Linked DNA regions of Rhinolophus ferrumequinum. The protein of the gene in region 1 purifies or fractionates together with the protein of each later gene. This does not show direct contact. Links are inferred from orthologs where the notes say so. Each region holds a gene or a part of one and is shown in the gene's direction. Other genes may lie near its edges.

Region 1 (7,600 bases):
TACTCATCCTTCTTGTGATGTGAGATGATACAATACCTATGTGATAAGACGAAGTAAATGACATGGGCATTGTGATGTAGCATTAGGCTACCATAAGGGTTACTTGAACACGAACACCGTGCTACTGTGACAACAGATCTGATCACTGAGACTAAGTGACTAATGGGTGGGGAGCGTCTACAGTGTGGAGACCCTGGACACAGGGATGGTTCACATCCCAGGCAGGATGGAGCAGGACGGCATGAAATTTCATCGTGCTACATCAGAGATCTTGCACACGCAGGATGGTGGCTGCCCCCAAGCCAAGATAAAAGGCCTCATAATGAAACTGACCTTGTTGGCACCTTGATTTTAGACTTCTCAGCCTCTAAAAAAGAGGGACCAAACACCTTAGATTTAAGGCCTCCTGCAGTCAAATGATTAATATAGTCAGAATGGATACATGTCAGTTTGCTTGAAGTTTTTAAAGTAAGGCAGTGTAAGAACATTATGTTAAGGCCACAACTACCCCATGTTAGGAGAGGAATCTTCTTAATGGAAGGGGAGAAACCTCCAGCTAAACAACCGAAAATCGAGACTAGACATACTGGTCATGGCACGAGTGACATCAGCAAATACTGCATCTGCCTATATGCACTCAGTGTATATTGCACGTCTTGTTTCTTGAAACTTGGGAATATTTGAACTGGGCAAAATAACCTTTGAACTGAGCCAAACCAACATTGTCTTACAAACAACTACTTATAAAGCCAACAGGAAAACAAACACTTGATCACAATGACTGATCACGGAGTCTCTTTCTGATGATAGACTGGTAACCAGCCATGTATAGCTAAAGAGGAACTCGGCTTGTTACCACCAATAGAAATTTCTTTTTCTATTCATGTAATTGTCCCCTTCCTTTTCTCATAAAAACCTTCTGCCTTCACCCTGTATTGGGACACTATTTGGGTTTCTACCTGAATCTGTGCTCCCCTCCCTGCAATTATTTTTGATCCCAAATAAATGTTAGTTGCCTCTCATTTGGGCTATTTATTTCCAGATTAACAGAGTCACCCCATTTAAAGTCTAATGACCTCTTTTCTTTTTTTCTACTCCAATTGAGTGCAAAGCAGCAATCACAAGCATGTTTGGGCTTTACACTAAGCCATGTCCTCCAACGTGTGATATTCTGAATCCCAGTTGCCTGATTCCCATGTAATTGTTTCCAAACTCAGAGAGGGAAACAGGAGTTCTCTTAAGCCCCAAGAAACTTGATTACAATTTTTTAAAAAATTATATTTATAAAGAAAAATTGAGATTTTTCACACAAAAAAGAAATTGAAGTAAAATAAGAAGCTGACACAAAATGAGTCATAAAATCCAAAACCCAATAAAAAGAATCAAATTTGATGGAAAAATAGTGAAAATAGATGATATAGTAATATGAAATCAATAATACAAATTGAGGGGAGGGAAGGGAAGAAAAGCCAGAAGATTAAAGATTTAATGGGAGTTCGCAAAATTAAATACCAAAAAATGTAAAACACATAGACAAGGCTAAAACATTACAAAAAATTCTGAACGTAATTTAGTGGTTACCAGAGGGTAAGGGGGTTGGGGGGTGGGAGATGAAGGTGGGGGGATCAGATATATGGTGATCGAGGGAGAACTGACTCTGGGTGGTGAACACACAATGTAATTTACAGATGATGTGATACAGAATTGCACACCTGAAATCTATGTAATTTTACTGACAATTGTCACCCCAATAAATTAATAAAAAAATTCTGAAGTACAGTGGCAAAAAAAAAAAGAGGAAAAATAGAAACAAAATCACTGGAAACGAATAGTGACTGGTTATCAGAGTCCTGATGGCTTAGACATCCCCACCCAGGGCAAGAGCGGAGTTCCTCCTGAATATAGGGAGCTGAGGGGCAGGCACCCTCACTCCAGGAAACAGCTAAAGGCCATGTTTTCAGTTGGCACCTAACATGAGTCCTGGGCTTTTGAATCAAAATAGCAGAAAACTAGTCTCCTTGGTCTTTTGCAAACTCCCGGGCAAACCCTTTTGATTACTTTGTAATATTCTCTAGTTTTAGAGCATGTACATCTGGATGAAACGAATAGAGACCACACCTCCCAATTCTTTGGTGCCCTCTTCTGGACACCCATTTGATCATCCATTTGTTCATTGTACAATTATTTAAGACTCTCCTCCATGCCATGCCTAGCAGCTGAGATTATAATTTTGTCATTACCACTGTGATCAGTGCTATAAAGGAGAAGTTATGACAATGACTAACAGCGAATGTCTTAGGAATCATCGAAGGCTTTCTAACAAAAGGGTCTTTTTACTGAAGTAGAACTAACTCAGCCGAAAGGGAGTGGGAGCGCATTCTAGGTAGAGAGAAAGCAGAGGCAAAGGCCCTGATGTGGAAGAGGTGAAACAGACAGGATGAATATTCAGGCTATTGTGAGCAGAAGACAGACTGGAAGGCCAAGGAGAAGACACTTGGGAGATAAGCAGGGACCAAACCTAGGCCTCGAAGCCACGTTAAGCATTTGTATTTATTTTCTGGGCAAAGATTATTTGGCCTATTATTTGGATCCAGTGGAAATTTCACCCTCTGATTCTATAACTATGAAGACAGCTTAACCCAAGCAATACAAAATTAATGAATTTTCATCTAAAAATCATTCTTCTTGGCAATTAAATCAATTCAATTTCTTGATAAATTACCATACAGATTTTAATTGATTTCAATTCTTTCCATTTCCTTTTTATTTAAAATTAATTGTAAGATCAATTTTTTATTATAAACTTTCCATGGAAATTTGATTCACCAATTGTTTCATCCTCAAGTTTAAATTTCCACGGTCTTTATCAAAATTCGATTCCTTAGTCAGTTTTTATTAATTAAATTTCATCAGGTGTAATTTTTAACCCCTTTCAGTTTTATTTTGGGTTATAAATAATACTCTAAGTCAGGTAAATAAGTTTTATTTCTTAGCTAATCATGAGAAAATCTTCAGTTGTTCTATCATTGTTCAAGACTGACCTATTGCAGTGGTTCTATCATTTCTCAGTCTTAAGACTCCTTTACTCTTCAAAATTATTGATATTCTCAATAGCTTTTATTAATGAGGGTTATAATTACCAATATTGTTTTATAAACCAAAACTGATATTTTTAATATTAATTTTAAAAAATAACAGTAATAAACTCATCACATGATAACATATTTTATTAAAAATAACTATCTTTCAAAAAAAAAGAGAAGAGTGGCATTGTTTTACATTTTTGCAAGTCTCTTATTTGGTTTAACAGAAGATAACTGGTTTCTCATGCCTTTTACATTCAAACTGTTTTAATCACACACCTTCTGTAACCTCTGGCAAATTTTCCACTGAAACAATGAGAACAAATGTCCCAGCATTATTATGAAAATAGTTTGGTCCTGGAGGACCCTGAGAGGTCTTAGCACACTTCAGAGGTCCCCAAACCACTTTGAGAACCGCTGATTTCTTTGAATGCTTCCCAATAGGTGGTTCACATACCATTTGAGGTGGCAAAAAAGCACTTTTTTATTTTAATAATTATGTATTTTTTGAGAAAAAAGTGGAAAAAGTTATAACTGATGATAGCCATGACACATGTGATTATTCCCCAAAGCACACAAAATCTGTCCCGAAAGAAAATAGTAATTTGTACTGTTCAAGTCAAAGAACAAAAGCCGAGCCAAAACGTTCTGCTTCATGTTTTCTGTATTTTCCACAAGAAGGGATAACTTTCACATTGTGATATAATTCTGTAAAATACTCCATTACCATTCAGTCTTTTTGAAATCAGCCATGTGTTGATGTGGGAAGACACACCGATCAAGTTTTAAGATTCTGGAAGAGTAAAGGGATTTGTATTTCAAGGCAAAAGCAGAAAAAAAGGAAGATAGACAGTGGTTAAAAATGTGCATTCTGTAGTCAGTCTGATCTGGGTAGGCATTCTAGCTTTGACATTACTAACTCTGTGATGTTGGACAAATTATCATTTGTAAACTTGTTTCCGCTTCTACCAAATGGAGAAAATGATAGTTAACTCGTTAAGACTGGCCATTAGCTATGATACTGCATGGAAAACAACACAGAGCCTGGCACATAGGAGCTGTGTAGTTATCCTCACAGACTAATTATTACTCTCACGTCCCCAGCACTTCTTACTAGTATGACCAAGACAGAGCAGACGCCCAACGATAGATTTTTGCGGATGAGGGCAGATGCTCTGCTTCGGGATAAAAGGAAACACCTGCCCTGATGTTATGGGTGGGTCTGGAGGAGTACCTGAAAATTAATATTAGGAGGGAGGCGAGGCTTCCAGGTCAGAAATGTCAAAAGTATAACGTCCCAACCCCGGAGTCTCGACAGTGGGGACAGTCGGGAGCGAGCCTCAACAACCTGGGCCGCCTGCGCATGCGTAGACTCGAAGACTGAAAGCGCGCTCTACGATCGGTTCGATCGATCGACCTGATCGAGGATCGTCAACTCAGTTCTGGCTGCGGGAACTGCTGTATCTCGCGAGGCAGCCGGGAAAGGGGCAGGTCTAGCAGGAGAGAGAGGAGGAGCGTGGGGTCACGGCACGCTGCGTTCCCAGGAGGCTGTGCGTGCCCCTCGCTGCTTCTGGGATCTCGCGATCCGGCGTGTGAAGGGCTACCTGCTTACTAGTCATGGCGCTTCATGTCCCCAAGGCCCCGGGCTTTGCCCAGATGCTCAAGGATGGAGCGAAGGTGAGGAATGGAGAAAGGGGGAGTAAGGTGGAAGAGTCGGCGTAGCGCTGCGGCGGCCGCAATGAAGGAAAAAGGCCTCCTAAAGGGCCGGGTGTGACCCTCCACCCTGACAGCGGTCTAAGGAAGAGAAGATTCCAGAAAGGGAGGTGTTGTCTGGAGGTCTCGGACACAGACGCCCGCGATCATTTCTGCCCTTGCCCGATCCTAGGGAGCGTTGAGAGGTCGGAGGCGGCGGGTTAGGGATGAGGCCGCAGGATTCGCTTCCTCCGTTAACTAGCTGGGCAAGCCTAAAACGTGCATTTCTCCTCCATCCGTAAGACGGGGCGGATTACACTCCATCCTTCGAGAGGAGAGGAGAGGAACAAAGGCCAGTTCTTGGCGGCTTCTTTTCAAGAAGAGCCTTCTGAGAAACCGGGCTCCTCATTTACTTCGTAAAAGTAGTGCGTTATAGTAGGACAGATAGACAATCCAAATGGGTCCTGGGCCAGACTTAGGTTAGTTACCTTGATGTAAAACTTAGCCCTGGAGGTCTTGCTTTCCTCACCTTTAAATTGAGGGGATTGGACCAAAAGATGGTACCTTTAAGTTGTAACTATCAGACTGACCTGTGTAATCCACAGGGTAAGTGACATCCTGGCCTAAATAAAACTGCTTTGTTTTATGGCCAGACCTTGAATGTAATTTAAAGAGCATGATTAAAAAAAAAATATTTTAATGCATTGCTGATAAATTTGTCTCTTGGGCTGTTCCAATAGTGGTCCTTTTTTGTCCTCCAAATTTCCTGTGTTTAATTAAGGAAGTATAGGTCAGCATGGTTCAATTTTAGGTAACAGTTTTTGGGAACTAGTTTCTTGTGGGCGGGATGCACTTTGGCATACCGTGAGTATAAATAAATATTAAGGTTTAATGTAAATGTTGATGAAACCGCTTTGCTGCAAACTACATCAACTACTGCTTACTTTATTTAAAAAGTCAGGCTGAAAATTTCGTAGGCTTTATTCTGAGACAGAAATAATGACTGATCAAGCAAAAAGGATAATTTCACATAACGATGAGAATATAAACAGCACTCTAGTAGAAAACGACAGGAAGTAGCAAAGTCTGCCACCAGAGCAACATGAGTCCGGAGACTTAGAGCAATTAAATAAGATGTTCATGAAAGAACTCTTAGGTCAGTGCTGAGTGGCGCAAGGAACCTGCCAAGATTAAAAGGGAAAGGGTTCCAGGCCGAGGGCCCAGTAAGTACAAATACCTTGAGGATGGAATGAGTTTGAGCTGTTAAAACAGTAAGAAAGGTGATGGCGGAAGCTTACCAAGGGAAGGCAAGGAAAGTAAGAGGTGATTTTAGAGGAGATGTAGCTAAGAGCCAGAACGTGTTGTGTCGGGCCTTGTAGCCCTGAGGAAGGATTTACGATTTATCCTAAGAGTTAGTGGGAAAAGCATTGAAGGGTTTGATGGGATCTGATTTCTAATCAGATGGTTGTTTCTCCGAGAATGGAGGTGAGGTGGGGAAGAAGCAAGAGTGTAGGGCAGGGGATCAGACTGAATGCTATTCTAAGAGTCCACCCCTTCTAAAGAAGTGATTATTAACCTTGTTTGGATCACAGTTAGTTTTGTGAGTGTAATAAAAGCCACACTTTATGCTCTAGAACAGTATTGTCTGACAGAACTTTCTCTGATGATGGAAACGTATGTCAGCATTGCCCAGTATGGTGTCCACTAGCCACATATAGCCACTGGGCGCTTGAACTGTAGCTAGTGCAATTGAGAAACTGAATTTTTAATTTTAATTACATAAAATTGAAATAACCATGTGGCTAATGCTACTATGTTAGGCAAAGCAGCTCTAGAAAAAGGGTCCGGAGAACAGTAGGCTCATGAAACCTATCTGAGGTCACAAATAAATCACGTCTAAAAGAAGTCCAATATAAAACTTGAGAATTTTAGTGCTGTGAGCGATTCATCAATTTTTTTCAGTATGTACACATTGGAATTGTGTTGCCATTCAAGTCTGTATACTTTAGTCCCTAAACATTTGGGGGCAGGTACGTTAAATGGGAATTCCCTGTGAACATAGAACTGTTAGCGTTATGATACTCAGGCTCTAACACAATTAGAAAAGTATTCATACCACATTGCAACTTGTAGTCAGAAAGTACTGATAAAAGGTATTTTTACCTGAAATAAATCACATGCTTTCTCTGATTAATCTTAGCACTTTTCCACTACATTAAAAAAAAAAATTTACAGGCTTTATGTTTGAATGTGTAGATAGGTACTGGTGGCCCCTAAAAATGTCATGCTTTGTTCATTAAACTAGTGAGCAAATTTATGGATCATTTATGAATACCAAGCACCATGCTTTACATACACAAATCTTACTTGATTATCTCAACAGTCCTGTGAATAGGTACCATTATTACCCCCGTTTTACAGATGAAGAAAATTACTGTGTTTCACTGTCGCGTCTAATAAGAAGTTCTTTTACAGCATTTTTCAGGATTAGAAGAGGCTGTGTACAGGAACATACAGGCTTGCAAGGAGCTTGCCCAGACGACTCGTACAGCATATGGACCAAATGGTAATTTCTAAATTAATCTTTTAAAAGTTACAGTAGTAGAATTTCATGTACTAGCTCTTTCAAACTTACTGTGAGAGCATTATATATAAATTGAATTTTGGCGATCACGTAGTATGGCTTTGAAAGTTATTTCGTAGTTCAATGACACCAGTACAGTGCTTCCAGTTTTTAATCAGCAATTCAGATATCTTTAGAAAAATAGGAATCCAAATGTTACTTTATGGTTCTTTCACCATCGAGACAGTGCCTAATGTTCAAT
Region 2 (7,887 bases), on another chromosome or scaffold:
GTCCTTAGTGCAAAAGCCTGTCGGGGGCTGGCAGATCTCCACCAGCAGGATCCAATGGGCCCCCGTCCCCACCTCGTCTGCGTGGAACTGGATGAACTGAATGGCTGTCTTCTGAAACGGGGGGCCAAGAAGAAGAGGTGGGATCCTGTGGACCAGACTACGCAGAAGAGGGAAGAGAGAGGGTCTGGAGGAGAGGGATTTGTGGCCCAGCGACGGCAAGAAGGGTCAGACGTGAGCAGCTGCCCTGGGCCACTGAAGTGAAGGCCGTGTGTGGGTGAGAACGGACAAGCTGAACAGTAAAGAGACTCTATTCCTGAACATTCCTGTGAACGCTCTCTCAAAGGACGAGAAGGTGTGCTGGAATCTGAAGTCAAGAACTGCTTTGAAATTCTTCTGGATCCTGGGTGCGTGAGTGGACTTGGGCTGTTCACCCTCTTCCCCTGCGGTTGGTGGGGGTAGCACACTGGGGGGCTACACTTCTCTAATCCAGCTGAGCCAGGGGATTCTCAACAGAACTCTGTTGACCCACACAAGGCAGATTTCCCTGAACATTCTCCTCCTGAAACCTGCACTTGACCTCGTACCACCCACTGCTCTTATAGTTTCTGATTTAATGTCTGTCTTCTCTCCCAGACATTAAAACACCATGAGGACAGGAGGGCATGGATCCCAAATGTCTAGGCCAGTGTTTTACATACAGAGCTTAACACACGCTCAGCACATAGTAGGTGCTCAGTGAGATTTCTGTGCGGCCCTACTATGGCTTGCTGCCAAGCAGGAGAATGGCTTGTGCTGATGCTAATGGAGGGATTGCCATCTGATGTATTTGAGATGCTTCTCGGGGCAGCCAGAACACTCCAGGGGGTTCTGAGCCCCCTCTGGCCTCAACCTCAGGACTTTAGACAAGGTGGCTGACCTACCAAGGCCTTGAGCCCCCCACCCAGGCCAATCACACTGCTAGCTGCTCAGACTGACAACCCGGCCCTGTGACTCAGCCATTAGGACTCCTCAAAACAGCACAACCCCGCGGACCCCACCCACATACTTGGCCATGGTACACACTGCCAGCGGCTATAGCCTCCACTCAAGAGCAGATAAGCACCATGCTTGCTGCCCCAGAATTGTCCTTCTAGCCATTCTTTCATTGCCTCCCTCTCCTCCAGGGCCACCCCTCCCTACGAGCTCTCTAGACTTTTGGACCGGGATAAAAACCACTCTTTATTGGCAGTCTCATCCTTAAATGCTGTACCCCTACTTCCTTGCTCCTTCCTGAGGACTTCCTGGGGATGGCAGAAGGAGACGCTTCCTGGGAGACGCTGCTCAGGGTCCAGAACACCAGGCGCCCCAGGGTGCCTAGAGGGGAGAGCCTCCTCCCTGCCGTAAGTATTCCAGGCCAATTGTCCCCCACCTCCCCCCAAACATCGTACTTCTTGGTGACTCGTTTCCTCCCGCTAAGCCATCCTACCCTTCCTCAGTGCTGTCATCTGCAGACATCCTGGCGGCACTCCCCCTTCCCTCGAGGGATCTGGGAATTTGTTCTTGGTCCTCCTCTCTGTCTCATGTCCCGTGTCATCCAGGTTTGCCTCAAAGCCCCTGTAGACGTCTGTCTGACACTCTGGGCTTGGAGCTCTGGACCTCTTCATCAACAGAGCTTTACATCTCTTCACTCTGGCTGCCCCTGGTTCTCTCCCCAACCACAGTGCAAGCTTCCTGGAGGCAGGGGCCTTGTCTAATTCATTGTAAGTTTGGAGACCTAGGACAGCGTACGAAGTACAGTCAGGCTCTTGAAAAATGTTTGAGTGAATGGATGAGTAACGGAACATGTAAAAGGTGAGTGCCTAGTCCACATTCAAGGTAGTGAAGTAATATACTAGCTTAATACATCAGAAAGACTGCATTATTCAAGTCACAAAGCTCTCAACTCGTTTGTTGCAATTATTGGTGCAAGTTTCTTAGGTGGAGAATGTCAGTATTATTAATAACTTTAGAGATTATATTTGATGCGATGAAAGATTGCTGTGCTGGATGCATGACTGATAATATTAGATCTTTGCGTAGGGCTCTGACAAGAAAATACCTAATAATTATGGGGAGCCAAAGATAGGGACTGATTTGAAATGTGATGAGAAGTAATCACGGGCAATTTCACGGACAGTCAGTCCTCTGGGTTCCTTTCCGTGACCTGGGATCTAAAATTGGGAATCAAGTCAAGTACAAACAAATAAACAAATGTCACCACCACTCCTCCTCCAAATATAGGCCAACAGGCCATTTTCCTTCTGTTAAAGCTCAATCAGACAAAGACCACCTGGGAGACGCCTGGAGTCCAACAAAATCAGACTTACGGACTTGATGCAGTGAGGGAGGCTCCGCGGAGCCACAAAGCACTGCGCTGTCAGAGGGAGGAGATTTGTAAGGTCATGGCTCCTCCCGAAGGATCTCAGGAGGGTCCAAAGGAAGTGGGGGTCAGTTCTGCACTGGTTGCAATTTCCAAGACAGAAATAGGAGAACTGGGGACTCTCTAAGGGTTGTACACCATCGTGAGCCAGGCTCAGCATCTGGGAGTCCCTTGTAAAAAATGGGTGCAGTAAAACAAGTCTATGGGGCCTCATTGGTAAGAAAGCAGTGGTCATTCCAAGTGGGCATGTTATGGCATTTTACAGCTGCGGCCAGACCTTAGGAGAAGGGCTGTTCTCTGTGAACTCTGCATTTGGCTTTATCTGAGTCTGTCCTCCCAGCCTGACGAATAGCAGGGCTGCTTTTACTCTTTTTTTCAGTCCAAGTTGATTTTCACTCTTTCAGTCCTGGATACATTTCAGTTCTTTCAGTTAACTGGGTTTAGCCAAAGTTTAAATATTCCCTTTTAAATTGCACTAGAGCCAAAGGTCCACATTTCCCTTTGCCATTGTGACCGTCAACCACACCCTGAAGCAAAGTCCTACAAAGCCTAAGGTGGCATGTGCAGGACAACTGCAGGGTGGTTCATTAAAGCAACTGGAACTAAATAAAATTCAGGCTAAAATCGGAGGTGACTTATTTCCAGCAAAGCATGACCAGCTTCATGGGACTGGTGTTGGGGAGCAGTTTTCTTTAATAAGGCCCTAAAGCATTCGCTAAGAGAACGCATTTATTGGCTCCTTATCTCATTACTTATAAAAAAATAGGGAAACCACCTAGAATCTGGACACACACAGAGCCCAGCTATTACAGATGGTGAAAAACAGCTCTTACATTCCAGTGGTTCTCAAACTTCAGTGTGCTTCAGCAACACCTATAGGACTTGCTGAAACTCAGGTTGCAGCGCTCCATCCCTAGAGATCAGTGCAGTAGGGTAGAGTGGCACCCAAGAAGTCACATTGTTAGTGAGTTCCCAGGTGATACTGACGATGCTGGTGCAAGGGCCACATTTGGAGAACCACTTCTCTAACTCAAATATTCCTCAGTGCCTCCACCACCCATACTTTTGTACTTTCTGTTTCTCCTACTTGAAAGGCCTTAGCTGCTCTCCATCTAACTGGTTGCTGGTCTTAATTTAAGTTCTACCTCCTTGCTTGGCCATTGTGTTTGTTATCTATTGATCTATTGCTGTGTAACAAGTTACCCCAGGTAGGACTTCCAGAATGGTAGCATGAGGTGTTCAGGGAAACCATTCCCCAAGAGAGACACCTATTAAGCTGGTCAAGATTAACAAAGACAACCATTCAAAATCTTTAGAGATTGACCAAAGGGTGTACAACAAACTGAGAAACACTAATTCCACAAAATCTGTGGAAACTTAGAACAGTGGAAATGCATGGTACTGAAGCTAGGGACTGCATCCATGTCCCACGGCTCTACCTTATGGAAGAACTGTCCCAGTGAGCTCAGCAACCGAGTGGCAGCTCACCGCACCGCTGAAGAGGAAAACCTCCCTTTCCAACATAGCTCAACCGTTGCAGTACATATGCTCTTATGGGTTCAACAGGTGAATGACAGCTCCCATGTCCCCCAGCTTCCCAGGGCTGAAGCTGGGTAGGTTTGGCAACCAGTGAATTTCAGATCTCATCTTCCTTGGATCTGTACCGCAGAAGATCCATACTGGGGACATGCTTGGGAGTGGCCGCAGCCTTGTGTGGTCAGAACCTCCATAGTATAGAGGTTTGGCCCAGGGCGGAGGACAGAAAATCTCCAAGACGGCAACACCAGCCCAGATGTCTTAAGGTAGAAGCCTGGAGCCCAGCACCTGCATTTGACAATTCAGACTCTGCTGATTTTATTCAGTGCCTACTGTGTGCCCCTATAGGTCGGGCACTTTTACGAATATGAATCACCTGAGGCTCAACTAGGTAAATGACTTGTCACCTTTCTGGTTTTGTCTGGTGCGATCACTGCCATGTCCGCAGAGCCTAGAACAGAGCCGGGTATAAAACAAGCCCCCAATAAATATGTGTCTTATGAATGAACTGCCTTATCCGACGCTGAAATCATAGTGAATTCCAGGTCACCCTGCATCGTTTTTAATTGTAACACTGGGTCACTGAAACATTTCTATTTCTGACTTCTTGGGCAGAGACCTTTTCTACACAATTAGGTATAAGGCTGAAAAAGGCGCACTGGCACTGGGTACCTCCCCCACCCAGCCCCACTAACCCAAGGCGATTGACCTACCCTAATAAGGTTGCGCCCAGGTTTGGCTCCGGGTCACGTGAATTTTGCTGCCCCGACCGACGGTAGGCGTGTCCTGTCTCGCGCGTGCGCACAGCTTCTGCGCCGGTTTCAGGAGAGGACGCACTCAGAGGCCTCGCTCCCTCCCTGGCTCCGCCCAGCTCACTCCTGGAGGGCGGGGCCGAAGCTGGGCTGAGAGACGAGGCGGGGCGGCGGCTGTGCGCGTGCGCGGAAGAGAGTGAGGGGCGGTGGCGTCGCGGCCCGCCTGGATTGAGTTATCTGCGACAAGATGCAGGTGAGCAAGCCGGGGGCACGAGACCTGGAGACTGCGGCCGCTCGTTTGCCCCGTTGGGTCCCCGGCGGCGGCGGCGGACTGTCCCGGCCGGGCCGCGGGAAGCTCCGGACGCCACAGGCACCGACAGGCCACGCGAGTCGAGGCCCGGCGCAGACGCAGTGAGGGGGGGTGGGCGTGGTGCCGCCGTCTGGGCGTTCCCACCCCTGTGTGGTCCACCCCCCAGATCTCCATCCTTGGGGGCTACCCCTCCTTGAGGTCGGATCCCACCTGGCAAAGTTACTTCCTACTTGTTAACTCTAACACCTGAGCAGGTGTGTTACGGAACCGTTGCATGGATCGGGAAGCTGGGAGAAGTGAAGAGTCCTGTCGAGGGTTCCATAACACGAAAGTGGCGGAATCCGTGTTCCTGACTCCACTTAGAGCCCGGGGAGGGGTTAGTTACACCCTCCTCCCGCCCGTGTTCGTGTTCAGGTTGAGGTGCGCTCACCTGACCTCCAGAGCTGAGCCCGAGGGTCCCTCTACCCAGTTACTTTCAGTCTTAAAATGAAGAAAACTAGATCCCCTAGTTTTGTCCTTTTATTGTCTCTGGAATGTGCTAATGGAATTTGATGAAAACCCAAAGAAAAGTGAAAAAAAATGAATGGAGACACCATGAAAAATGGATGCTTTTATGAGCAAAAATCTGACAACTGAATTTTGTCACTGTGCGAGGACCCTCTTCCAAAGGTCTTTCTCCCGCCTCCCAGATCTCGCTGTGGCTGAATCCTCTCTGGCTTGTTGGCAAGTGGGAAATGGAGTTCGTGTGGGTTCGTTTGGGCCAGAAGGTATCCGGGCCTGGAGAGGATGGTCATTGCAAATACAATGTGTCTGCCACAAGCCAGACACGCTTAAATGATGAGGAAGCTCCAGGGCTGCCCGGGCCTCCTTTGCATTCTCTGTCCTTTCTGTCCCTTCTTAAAAATGTCACCTCTTCAGAGGCCTTCCCTGTTGAAAGAATTCTGTTTTTTTTTCTTTTAAAATATCTCAGCAAGACTCGGAGCTGGGGCTAGAGCCTGGCTAGGTCAGTGCCCTTTCCTCGGTGCTCCTTGATTTCATGTTTCAAACCAGGTCCCTTAGCAGTGTTCCTGCCAAGCCATGCAAAACCAGTGTTTGGCTGGCTGGGTTCTGGAGCTAAGAGCCCACTTCGACATTTATCCTTCTGACATTTGATCTTGGTTAAATTCGTCTTGTTCCGTCCAGCACAGCAGACTTCCTAAATGCCATGTCCCGCAGGTACAGGTAAAGGACTTAGAAGCGTTCCCAGCACGTAGTACTCAGTAAGTGTTAGCCCTTGTGAGCTATTCCACTGGGGTCTCAGCTCTCAGGTTTGGCCATTAGAGGGTTTGTCAGCCGGCATCAGGCTCTCCTCCCTCTGATTCTAACGCAGCCACTCATGACTTTGAGATGCTCAATATTTCTGCTCTTGGGCACTTTGCACGTGCTGGTCCCTCTACCTGGGAAGTAATTTCCTAAGTTCTCCTCGTGTCTGGTTCCTTTTCACCTTCCAGTGATGGTTAAATGTCACCTCTTCTGAGAGAGCGTCTCTGCCCATCCTGTGGAATGCGGGCCCCCTGTAACTAGGTCAGCAGCCTGTTGGTCATTGCACTTACAATTTGTATTATATATCTGTTAGTATATTTCATTGTTCATTGCTTGTCTCTTCCTCTTGATTAAAATAGATGGTTCTGGCACCATGCGTCCCTACCATCTAGTGCAGTAATTTACTTATAGTTGGTACATATACTAGGTACTTAATAAATACCCGTTGAATGAATCACTCCAAGTCATTAATAAAAATATTGAGCAAACATCAGGTCAGAGCCTGTGCATCAGATCCTAGTTTTTACCCCAGTACTAGCTCTACTGTAGGGTTGGGAGCTTTGAGTAAGTGACAGGAAGAATGTAACAGGGGCTGTGGATCTTTTGACACTTTCTTAGAAGCGACATAGAATGACTTGGTTTGAACTTTCTTCCCACCACCTTTCCCATTTGACCCCTTGCCCAACGTGGCACCCTCCATAGTGGACGTTGCTCTCATGGTATCCTTGGTCCCACTGCTCTAGGACCCCAACGCAGACACCGAGTGGAATGACATCTTACGCAAAAAGGGCATCCTGCCCTCAAAGGAAAGTTTGAATGAATTGGAAAAGGAGGCAGAGGAGGAGGACGAGCAGCGAGTCCTTCAGCAGTCCATTGGTGAGATAGCTTGTATTCTTTGTTCTGTGTCTGTCTGGGTAGGAAACACTTTCTACGCCTCTAACTGCTCTGGTGGAAGGATCCTCTGGGCAAGAGTTGGGCAGCCAAGGTTTGGAGTGCTGGACAGGACACTGTGGGACCGCAGGCAAGTTGCAGAAAGTCCCAGCTTGCAACTCTCTGGGCCATAGAATGAGGGGAGTTCAAAGGCCCCTCCATCGCCACAGTTCTTTGTCTGTGTCAGATGAGCACATGACAACCCCGAAGAAAGGACTTTCTTGTTGTGATTCCCTTGGTAGACTGTCATGGAGATGCGCTCCAAGGTTTTAGTGTTTGTGTTCTCCTTAGCTTATACTTTATTCTCTTTGTGGTTTGATTGAGAATATTCAAGTCGTTTCATTTGGGGAAGCGTAAGATGTTTGCAATGTGTGGGGGCTGAGAGAGAGGTTCTCAAAAGTGGTTATACCACCTGATTCTGAATCTCCTGGGGTGTTTGTTAAAAAACCCAGTTCCTACTGAATCAGCATCTCTGGGGGCGGGGTGGGTGGCGGCAGCCCAGGAACCTGTATTTTAAATAAGTGCCTCAGGATTGTTGACTCACAGAGTCAGAGTTTGAGAACCACTGATCACAGGGGTAGTACTTTTGTCCCGTTTACATGTTAGAGCTAATTTAGAGGAGGATTTATTACAAAGCATTTAACCACCGAGTGTTTACT
Region 3 (7,222 bases), on another chromosome or scaffold:
TCGACCCCGCTCCCTGAGAGGGGTTTTGCAAGGTAATTTGTTGGGCGAGGGGCTCTTGATTTTAAGGGGAGACCTACCAGGCTCCCGGGGTGGCTCGCTGCTATGTTTTTGGATAGTAATCGAACTGGATCCCTCACTCTAACCTAGCCAGGCTGGGGCGTACACGAGGGTCTCAGCCTCTCTTAGGGAGGAAGAAGCTACACTCTGCATATCCCGCTGGGAGCGCCTCGCCGCCTTCCGATTGGCCTAGACGATCTTAGTGCCGCCCGTTATTGGTTGCCAGTTCCATGATTCCCATTGGCCAGCGCCCATTGTGACGTCACGGACCCATGTGGGAGCACCGTGGGCGGATTGGCTGGCGCGTTCAGCCAACCACCACAGAGAAAGGAATTTCCACAGTAGCTGGGACTGCGGGGCTGATTTAAGGTGGTCTGAGCAATCCCGGGTCCCAGCGCTGCTTCTCAGCTTTTTCCTTTAAAATAAATAAATAAATAAATAAACCACATCCACAGCATAAAAACCCAGCCAAGAACCGGGGCTGAGCCTTTCTGTATAGTGGGAGGGGAGAAATCGGAAACTAAGCCCCTTCCTCCATTTTGCAGTTTCCTGGATTTTGCAGATGGGGAAACTGAGGCCCAGAGAGATGGAGCTTGAAGCGAGCCTCCCACCACCAGCACCATGGCAAACGAGTTAGCTGGGGAATTGAGAAGGTTGTGCTAGACTGCCCAGGCTGTAACTCAGGCCTTGCCAGGCCTTTCCCTGCCTCCTGCTCTGGGTGAATGTGGGACTTCAGCGAGTTATGGAGTAACAGGCTTCCTAAGGGTCCTCCTAACTCACAGACTACTCTTAGCTGAGCCTTCCCAAATTCTCAGAGCTGCTCCCAAGCTGAGGTTGCTACTGCTTAGAGCAAACCATCTCTTCCTTTTTGGCAGATCTCACACACAAGAGATGGTGTGTGTGTGTATGTGTGTGTGTGGTCTTGTGGCTTCTCAGGCAATCCACAAATCTGTATTTACTCTCCTCAGTGGAGTGTGCCTGGCTGAGAAATCTAAAGACTGGTAGGTAAAGGTTCCCTCCTCCAGGAAGCCTCCTGTTGACTCCATAGGCAGAGACCCTGTTCCATCTCCCTCGGGGTGCTTCCGCCCTGGATCTGTCCCCCTGTTCTGGCATTGACTACGTGTGCCCTGGAGTGTGTCCTCAGTTCTGTCTCTCCCCATCCAGCTACCCTGGGAACCCTCCCAGCAAAGCCTGAGGCCGGGTCCTTCCTAAGGCCCCAGCATCTTCCAGCATGAGAAGGTGGTTATTGAATAAATATCAACTTTAGACAGTCTGTATTCAATGTGTGTGCGGAGGGGAAGATGCCTGGAGGAGGTGCCATTTGGGCTGGGCCCTGAAGGAAGGGATTTCGAGCAGGCAGAAAAAGAGCTGAGGGAATTCCAGGAAGAGATAAGCAAAGGCCCAGAGGTGAGAAAGAACACAGATTAAGTAATCCAGCTGGCGTGGCTGGAGCAGAGGGAGTGTTTGAACTGGTAGAGGGAGGTGAAGCTGGGTCAGGCCAGGAGGTGAAGGGTATCCATGCTAACCTGAAGATCTGGGAATTTGTCCCAAGGGCAATAGGGAGCCATGGGAGGGCTTTGAGTGAGGGAGGGCCAGACTCAAAGGAAGGTGATGAGAGTGAAGGCTGTTCAGAGCAGTGAGTTGGCTTGAGATCCAGATGGCGGAGGATGAAGGGTTGGTACAGGCAGGGGTTGTTGGGAAGGGGAGCAGAGTTGCATGGCAGGTGAGGGGGAAAGAAGAGGCTAGGCTGATGCTCTATCTTGGGGGGGTCAGGGTGGGCTGTGGGGTGTAACAGGTTTGGGGAAGATGCTTTGTCTAATGACCTGGGGGTGTCCAGGGGGGACATCCATTTGGTGGCTGCACCCACAGGGCTGGGTCTCAGGGTAGGGGCCAGGGGTGGACCCAGAGCGTGCAGCCATTCTCATGAGTGTTCAGGAGGGCATGGGGACAGGGGGAAGAAAGGCTGCCTGGAAAAAGTTTTTGAGGACTTCACAGACCCTCTCCCCCCAGAACCAGAATCACAATCTCCTAGCATTGTGGAATCCTGGAACTCCCTGCTTCTGAAAATTTCCCAGCAGGAGTGGGGCCAGTGATTACCACCTTTAGCTGCATCAGCTCTTTCTTCTCATCCCAAGGCCCGTTTTTTTATTGAGCACTTACTGTGGGCCAGCTCTGCAGGGACCAAGACAGGCTCTGTCCCTACACAGCCTAGTACTAGGGGAAAACAAATAATGACTAGAACAACCCACGAAGAAACATAATCATGTCAAAAATAAAAACTCTGTTAGGACCTAGAAAGAGAGAATAGGATGCGGTGTTTAAAAACAACAAGGTAGAGTGGGTGAATGCTGCTTCAATGGGTGGCCAGGAGGGGACTTTATGAGGAGGTGACATTTGAGCTGAGACCTGAATGATGAGAAGCAAGGGGACCAGTGTTCCAGGTAGAGGGAACAGTCAGTGCAAAGGCTTTGAGGCAGGACTGTGCCTGGAGAGTTGGAGAAACAGAGAATGGCTGGAGCAGAATGAATGAGGGTGAAAGTGAAGGGAGTTAGGATCAAGATGGGGACCGTGGGGAGGGGGTTTGTGCAGGGCTTTGTGGGAAGAGGGAAGAGTCTGGATTTTATTTTGAAGGCAATAGGAAATCATTGAATTCTCCCTTCATCACACACACAGATAACACTCCCTGGATCTCTCTTTACCTCCCCTCCCATGGTTTCCTCTCTTTATCTTTCAAGTCTCATGTCCAACATTAACCTCCTCAAAGAGGCCTTTCCCAGACACCCCAGATAAGTAGGTTCCCTCTTGTCAACCTTTTCCACTGCTCCCTAAACTCTTCTCTTGTGCACACAAATAATTCCATCATTACCAAGCTGTGATCTTGTCTCGCAAACTGAGAGAAGGCAGGAATCCATTCTCCTTCATCCACTCTTGTATGCCTGGGAGGATGTGTGGCATATAGTAGATGCTCAATAAATTTGTTGACTGGAAAGTGATGCTTTTAAGTTTAAGGACTTTTGTACATTGTCACTCACACAATTACTGACATGGGTGTGGACATTAACACCTGGCAAGAGGTTTTCTCTGTTTTGTTCCCTGTTGAGAGCCCCAGTGCCGAGAGCAGGGTCTGGTCCAGAGTAGGCACCCAGTACGTGTTTGTTGATTGCCTTAATGAATGACTCTGAGGTTTCTCACACGCAGGATGGGAATAAGAACATCCCATCTCCCAGGTGAATGTGAGGGACAGTAGCTGGATGTCTGAGGTCCATGGTGGGGGTTGGAGCCCCTGCCCTCAGAGAGACTTCAGTCTGAAGGCAGAGATTCCGTTCCCATTCTCACTGGGACTTCTGCCTTCTACCGCGTTTCCCCGAAAATAAGACCTAGCCATGAGACCGGGTCTTATATTAATTTTTGCTCCGAAAGACACATTAGAGCTGATTGTCCAGGTAGGTCTTATTTTCGGAGAAACACAGAGCCTACAGTCTGCTGGTTGTGGCAGTTGGAACACCAACTCCCATACTGTGAGCCAAGCCCGGCTGAGGGCTGTGCATGTACCATCTCGTAAAAAACAGCCCCTGCCTCTGCCCTTTTCAGAGAATCCTGAGGCCCAGTGTGGGGGAGAGCCTGCCTGGGCCCCCCACCTCTTGCCCTCCTCTGGGCCTCTGCCCCTTGCTATTTCATTTCTCCTGGGGGAAGGCTTCCCTGCCAGCACTTGATAAGGCTGCTTCCTCCTTATCCTTAAGTCTTAGCCCACATCCTCAGAAAGGCCATTTCTGACCACAAACTGCTCTCCCCACCGTGGGCCGCCAGGTATTTGTTTCCTTGCTTTTTTTTTCTCTGGGGCCCCCTGGGGAGGGAGGGAGTGAGCGGGGACGATGTTTGTGGGGCTGGACTCGAGCCTCAGTTTCTCCACTGGGCACTGGTCGAAGGGACGGGTGGGCTTCCGGAGCTACGGCTCCAGGTTGGGGGGGGAGCAGGGTGGGTGGCGGGCGGGCCGGGTGGGCGGGCCTGGGGGGCGGCGGCGCCACCTTAAGGCAGCTCAGCCCGCGGCTCCCGGCCGAGCCCCGCCGGAGGGAGGCGGCTCCGCGCGGGGCCCGCCGCCCGCGCCTCCGACACCCGGCCGCGGCTCGCCGACCTTCTGCGCCCACCGCCCAGCGCCCCTGCCCAGGGGAGGGGTCCTCGTTGTCCCTCTCCGTCCTCGTGACCCTGCGCGCACGATTGGGGGACGCGGGGACTCCAGGGTCTTCTGCCCCACGCCGCCCGCCCCCCGTCTTCTTTCTCCGGGCAGACCCCCGCCCCCAGCCTCTTTCTCTCTCCCACCCCCTCGCCTCGACCCCCCCACATTGTCACACTCCGGCGCGAGGGGGGCTTCCCAGATCGACAGGATGTACCCTCAGGGAAGGCACCCGGTGAGTGGGGGCCTGGGCTGCGGGGGTGGGGGACCCAGCGCCCGGGAACTCAGACCTCAGACGTCCCCCCCAGACCCCGCTTCAGTCCGGTCAGCCCTTCAAGTTCTCGATCTTGGAGATCTGCGACCGCATCAAAGAGGAATTCCAGTTCCTTCAGGCTCAGTATCATAGGTGAGGGGGGGCGGGGCGCCCCTCCTGGGGCACCGGGAAGCTCACCTGCGAGCTCACCTGGGAGCTCAGGGAGAGGGGCGGGGCGCGTGGGACCGGGCCAGGCGGGGGCGGGGCCTCCAGGGTGCTGGGAGTAGGGCTGGCCCCCAGAGGTGAGGGGAGAGCTTCCAGGTGGAAGCGCAGGGTGAGGGAAATGGGGACAGTGGGTGCTTGGACATTTTGAGTCTGGGAAGGCGGGGGTGGAGGGTGGGGGTGTAAAGAAGTGGGGAGGAGGAGTGTCAAACCCATCATTTTGGAAACTGGCCCAAAGCGGGTATCCGTGGGGTGTCCCGGTTTCCCTGAGTCTCCCTCTGGGGGTCATGGAGAGTGGGGTACCCATGCCCTTTCTCCTTCCCAGCCTCAAGCTGGAATGTGAGAAGTTGGCCAGTGAGAAGACCGAAATGCAGCGACATTATGTCATGGTGAGGAGGGTAGCATGTCAGGGTGGGGGGAGTGGGGCACAGGGCTTGGCCAGGAGTGAAAACACTTGGGTTGTGAATCCCAACTCACTGGGCCACTCTGGGTAAGTCCCTGCCCCTCTTGGGGCTTCATTTTCCGTATCTGTAAAGTTGGCTGGTTGGGATTCCAGGCTGTTTCTCCCAGGACCCTCCCAGCTCTTAAGAACAATGAGACAAGAATGTCTCTTCTCCTCATCTCTGGGCCAGGGTCTCAGCACCACCACCTGCCCCACCTCCTGGAGAGAGTGGAAGGGTGACCTGCTTCTCCCTAGGGGGTCCCCATGGGGTTGGGATGATCTGTGCCCTGAGGTGACCACCCCAGCCTGAGGGCTCCTGAAGACCCAGAGTCACCCAGCACAGGGCTGGACATCCGTCGGCACCGTGGACATTGCCAACTGGCTTTTCCTTTGCAGTACTATGAGATGTCCTATGGGCTCAACGTTGAAATGCATAAGCAGGTAACTGTTGGGGGTGAAGGTGTTCAGTAGGTAGGGTGGGGGTCTGGAAGCTGTCAGAGGGACTCAACACTAGGGCAGTCTGGGGCAAGGCAGATCCAGGCAACAGGGGTCTAAACCTGAAATCTTTGGGACCAGCGGGGGCAGATTTCAGCCTCTGGATAGGAAAATGATTCTGAATTTCTAGAGCCTTTATCCAGCAGAGGGGAGTGGTGGGCAGGGCCAAGCATCCCTGTCAAGGGCGCTCATAGCAGAGGCTGGCAGCCAAGTCAGGGAGGCTGTGGAGGTGACTTCTGTCCTGGAAAGGGGCCAGATGAACAGTCTTGGAGGTCCCTTTGAGCCTGAGGCTCTGAGATGGCCCCAAGCTTCTGTCAACTGTTTTGAAAGGTCTGAGATTGACTCTAGTGCTTTGCGGTTCTGAGACTCTCCTATGCTTCTGAGTGTGATCTCGAGGTACTGAGTTAGATTGGAAGGTTCTGAAATTGACTCCAATTGTCCAAGATTGATCCTGAGATCCTGAGACTGACTTCCAGGTTCTCTGATGGCTTGTAATAGGATGGAGATTCTGAGGTTAAGAGAATCTTAGGTTCTGTCCATCCGAATATTAGTCAATGCATGGAGCCTAGTGTTGGGTCTTCCGGTGGGTGGGCTGGAATGTAGTGTGCACGGGGCTCCCTGGCGTGCTTTTCCATGTATGTGTGGGCTCTGCTGGCTCTGGGGGTGCTGGGAGGGCTGTGCCTTTCTGGAGCATGACATGGACTCATGGATATATGAAATAGAACCCCTCATGGGGTGGCAGGCATAGGGTACAGCCTGGTCTTTGGGAGCCTGGTTCTGCCCTCCTGGTGGGAACTGCCCCCCGACACACTGCACACAGCATGCCTGTAACCCAGGCAGACACAAAAGCATAGGCTTCACTGCACACACACCCTTTTCCCACCCACAAGGCTTCTCCTATGTTCCGCCTCCATGGGGTACCCCTGGTCCAGACCCTATCCGGGATGAAACCTACAAGTAAGCCACTCTGTTTCCATTGCTATATACTTCCAACACTAAGTGTGGGTTTTCCCCACACCAACCAATTCTCCAACTCTTAACACCCGCCAGATGTCCTGCAGATCAGCTCCATTCTGACACTTTCTGCTCCAAGTTAGTCCAGACCCCACAGGTTCAGGGCTCAGCCCCACAGGACTGTCCCCACTTCAGATAGGGACTTTGCAAGTCTGTGCTTCCTACAGTTCTGAGCAACTGGCTATAAAATCAGGGGTTCTCATCACCCCTTCTTGGGCTCAATAATTTGCTAGAATGGCTCACAGAACTCAGGAAAGCTCTTACTTATTATTATCTGTTCATTATAAAAGTTATAACTCAGAAACAGCTAGATGGAACAGAGGGCAAGGTATGGGGAAGGGGTGCAGAGCTTCCATGCCCTCTCCAAGCGCCGCTCTCCCAGCACCTTTGTGTGTTCACCTACCCAGAGGGTCTCCAGACCCTGTATTTCAGAGAATGTTTTTTAAACGTCACAGTTATTTAATCCGCACGTGTTCCAGAGATCCCCCTCCCTCCCTCCCTCCCTCCCAGCCCTCCACAGTCCTTGGGTTCCCAAATCAGCCCAAGGAGCTTTTAGGGACTGGAGGTG

Evidence for each region.
Region 2: the proteins of CCT8 (region 1) and PDCL3 purify together in Homo sapiens (affinity purification with mass spectrometry; 3 studies listed by BioGRID and IntAct, with this or other methods). This does not show direct contact. The link is inferred for Rhinolophus ferrumequinum from reciprocal best matches to the Homo sapiens genes CCT8 and PDCL3.
Region 3: the proteins of CCT8 (region 1) and TLE2 purify together in Homo sapiens (affinity purification with mass spectrometry; 3 studies listed by BioGRID and IntAct, with this or other methods). This does not show direct contact. The link is inferred for Rhinolophus ferrumequinum from reciprocal best matches to the Homo sapiens genes CCT8 and TLE2.

What each region holds. Positions count from the first base shown.
Region 1 is NC_046285.1:95,826,410-95,834,009, reverse strand, and holds the start of CCT8 (T-complex protein 1 subunit theta), read left to right. Parts: upstream 1-4,598; 5' UTR 4,599-4,700; coding exon 4,701-4,760; intron 4,761-7,250; coding exon 7,251-7,341; intron 7,342-7,600. UniProt on the Homo sapiens protein: Component of the chaperonin-containing T-complex (TRiC), a molecular chaperone complex that assists the folding of actin, tubulin and other proteins upon ATP hydrolysis.
Region 2 is NC_046296.1:3,917,984-3,925,870, reverse strand, and holds the start of PDCL3 (phosducin-like protein 3), read left to right. Parts: upstream 1-4,808; 5' UTR 4,809-4,933; coding exon 4,934-4,939; intron 4,940-7,041; coding exon 7,042-7,174; intron 7,175-7,887. UniProt on the Homo sapiens protein: Acts as a chaperone for the angiogenic VEGF receptor KDR/VEGFR2, increasing its abundance by inhibiting its ubiquitination and degradation.
Region 3 is NC_046301.1:60,197,036-60,204,257, forward strand, and holds the start of TLE2 (transducin-like enhancer protein 2), read left to right. Parts: upstream 1-4,135; 5' UTR 4,136-4,439; coding exon 4,440-4,463; intron 4,464-4,536; coding exon 4,537-4,634; intron 4,635-5,028; coding exon 5,029-5,092; intron 5,093-5,541; coding exon 5,542-5,586; intron 5,587-7,222.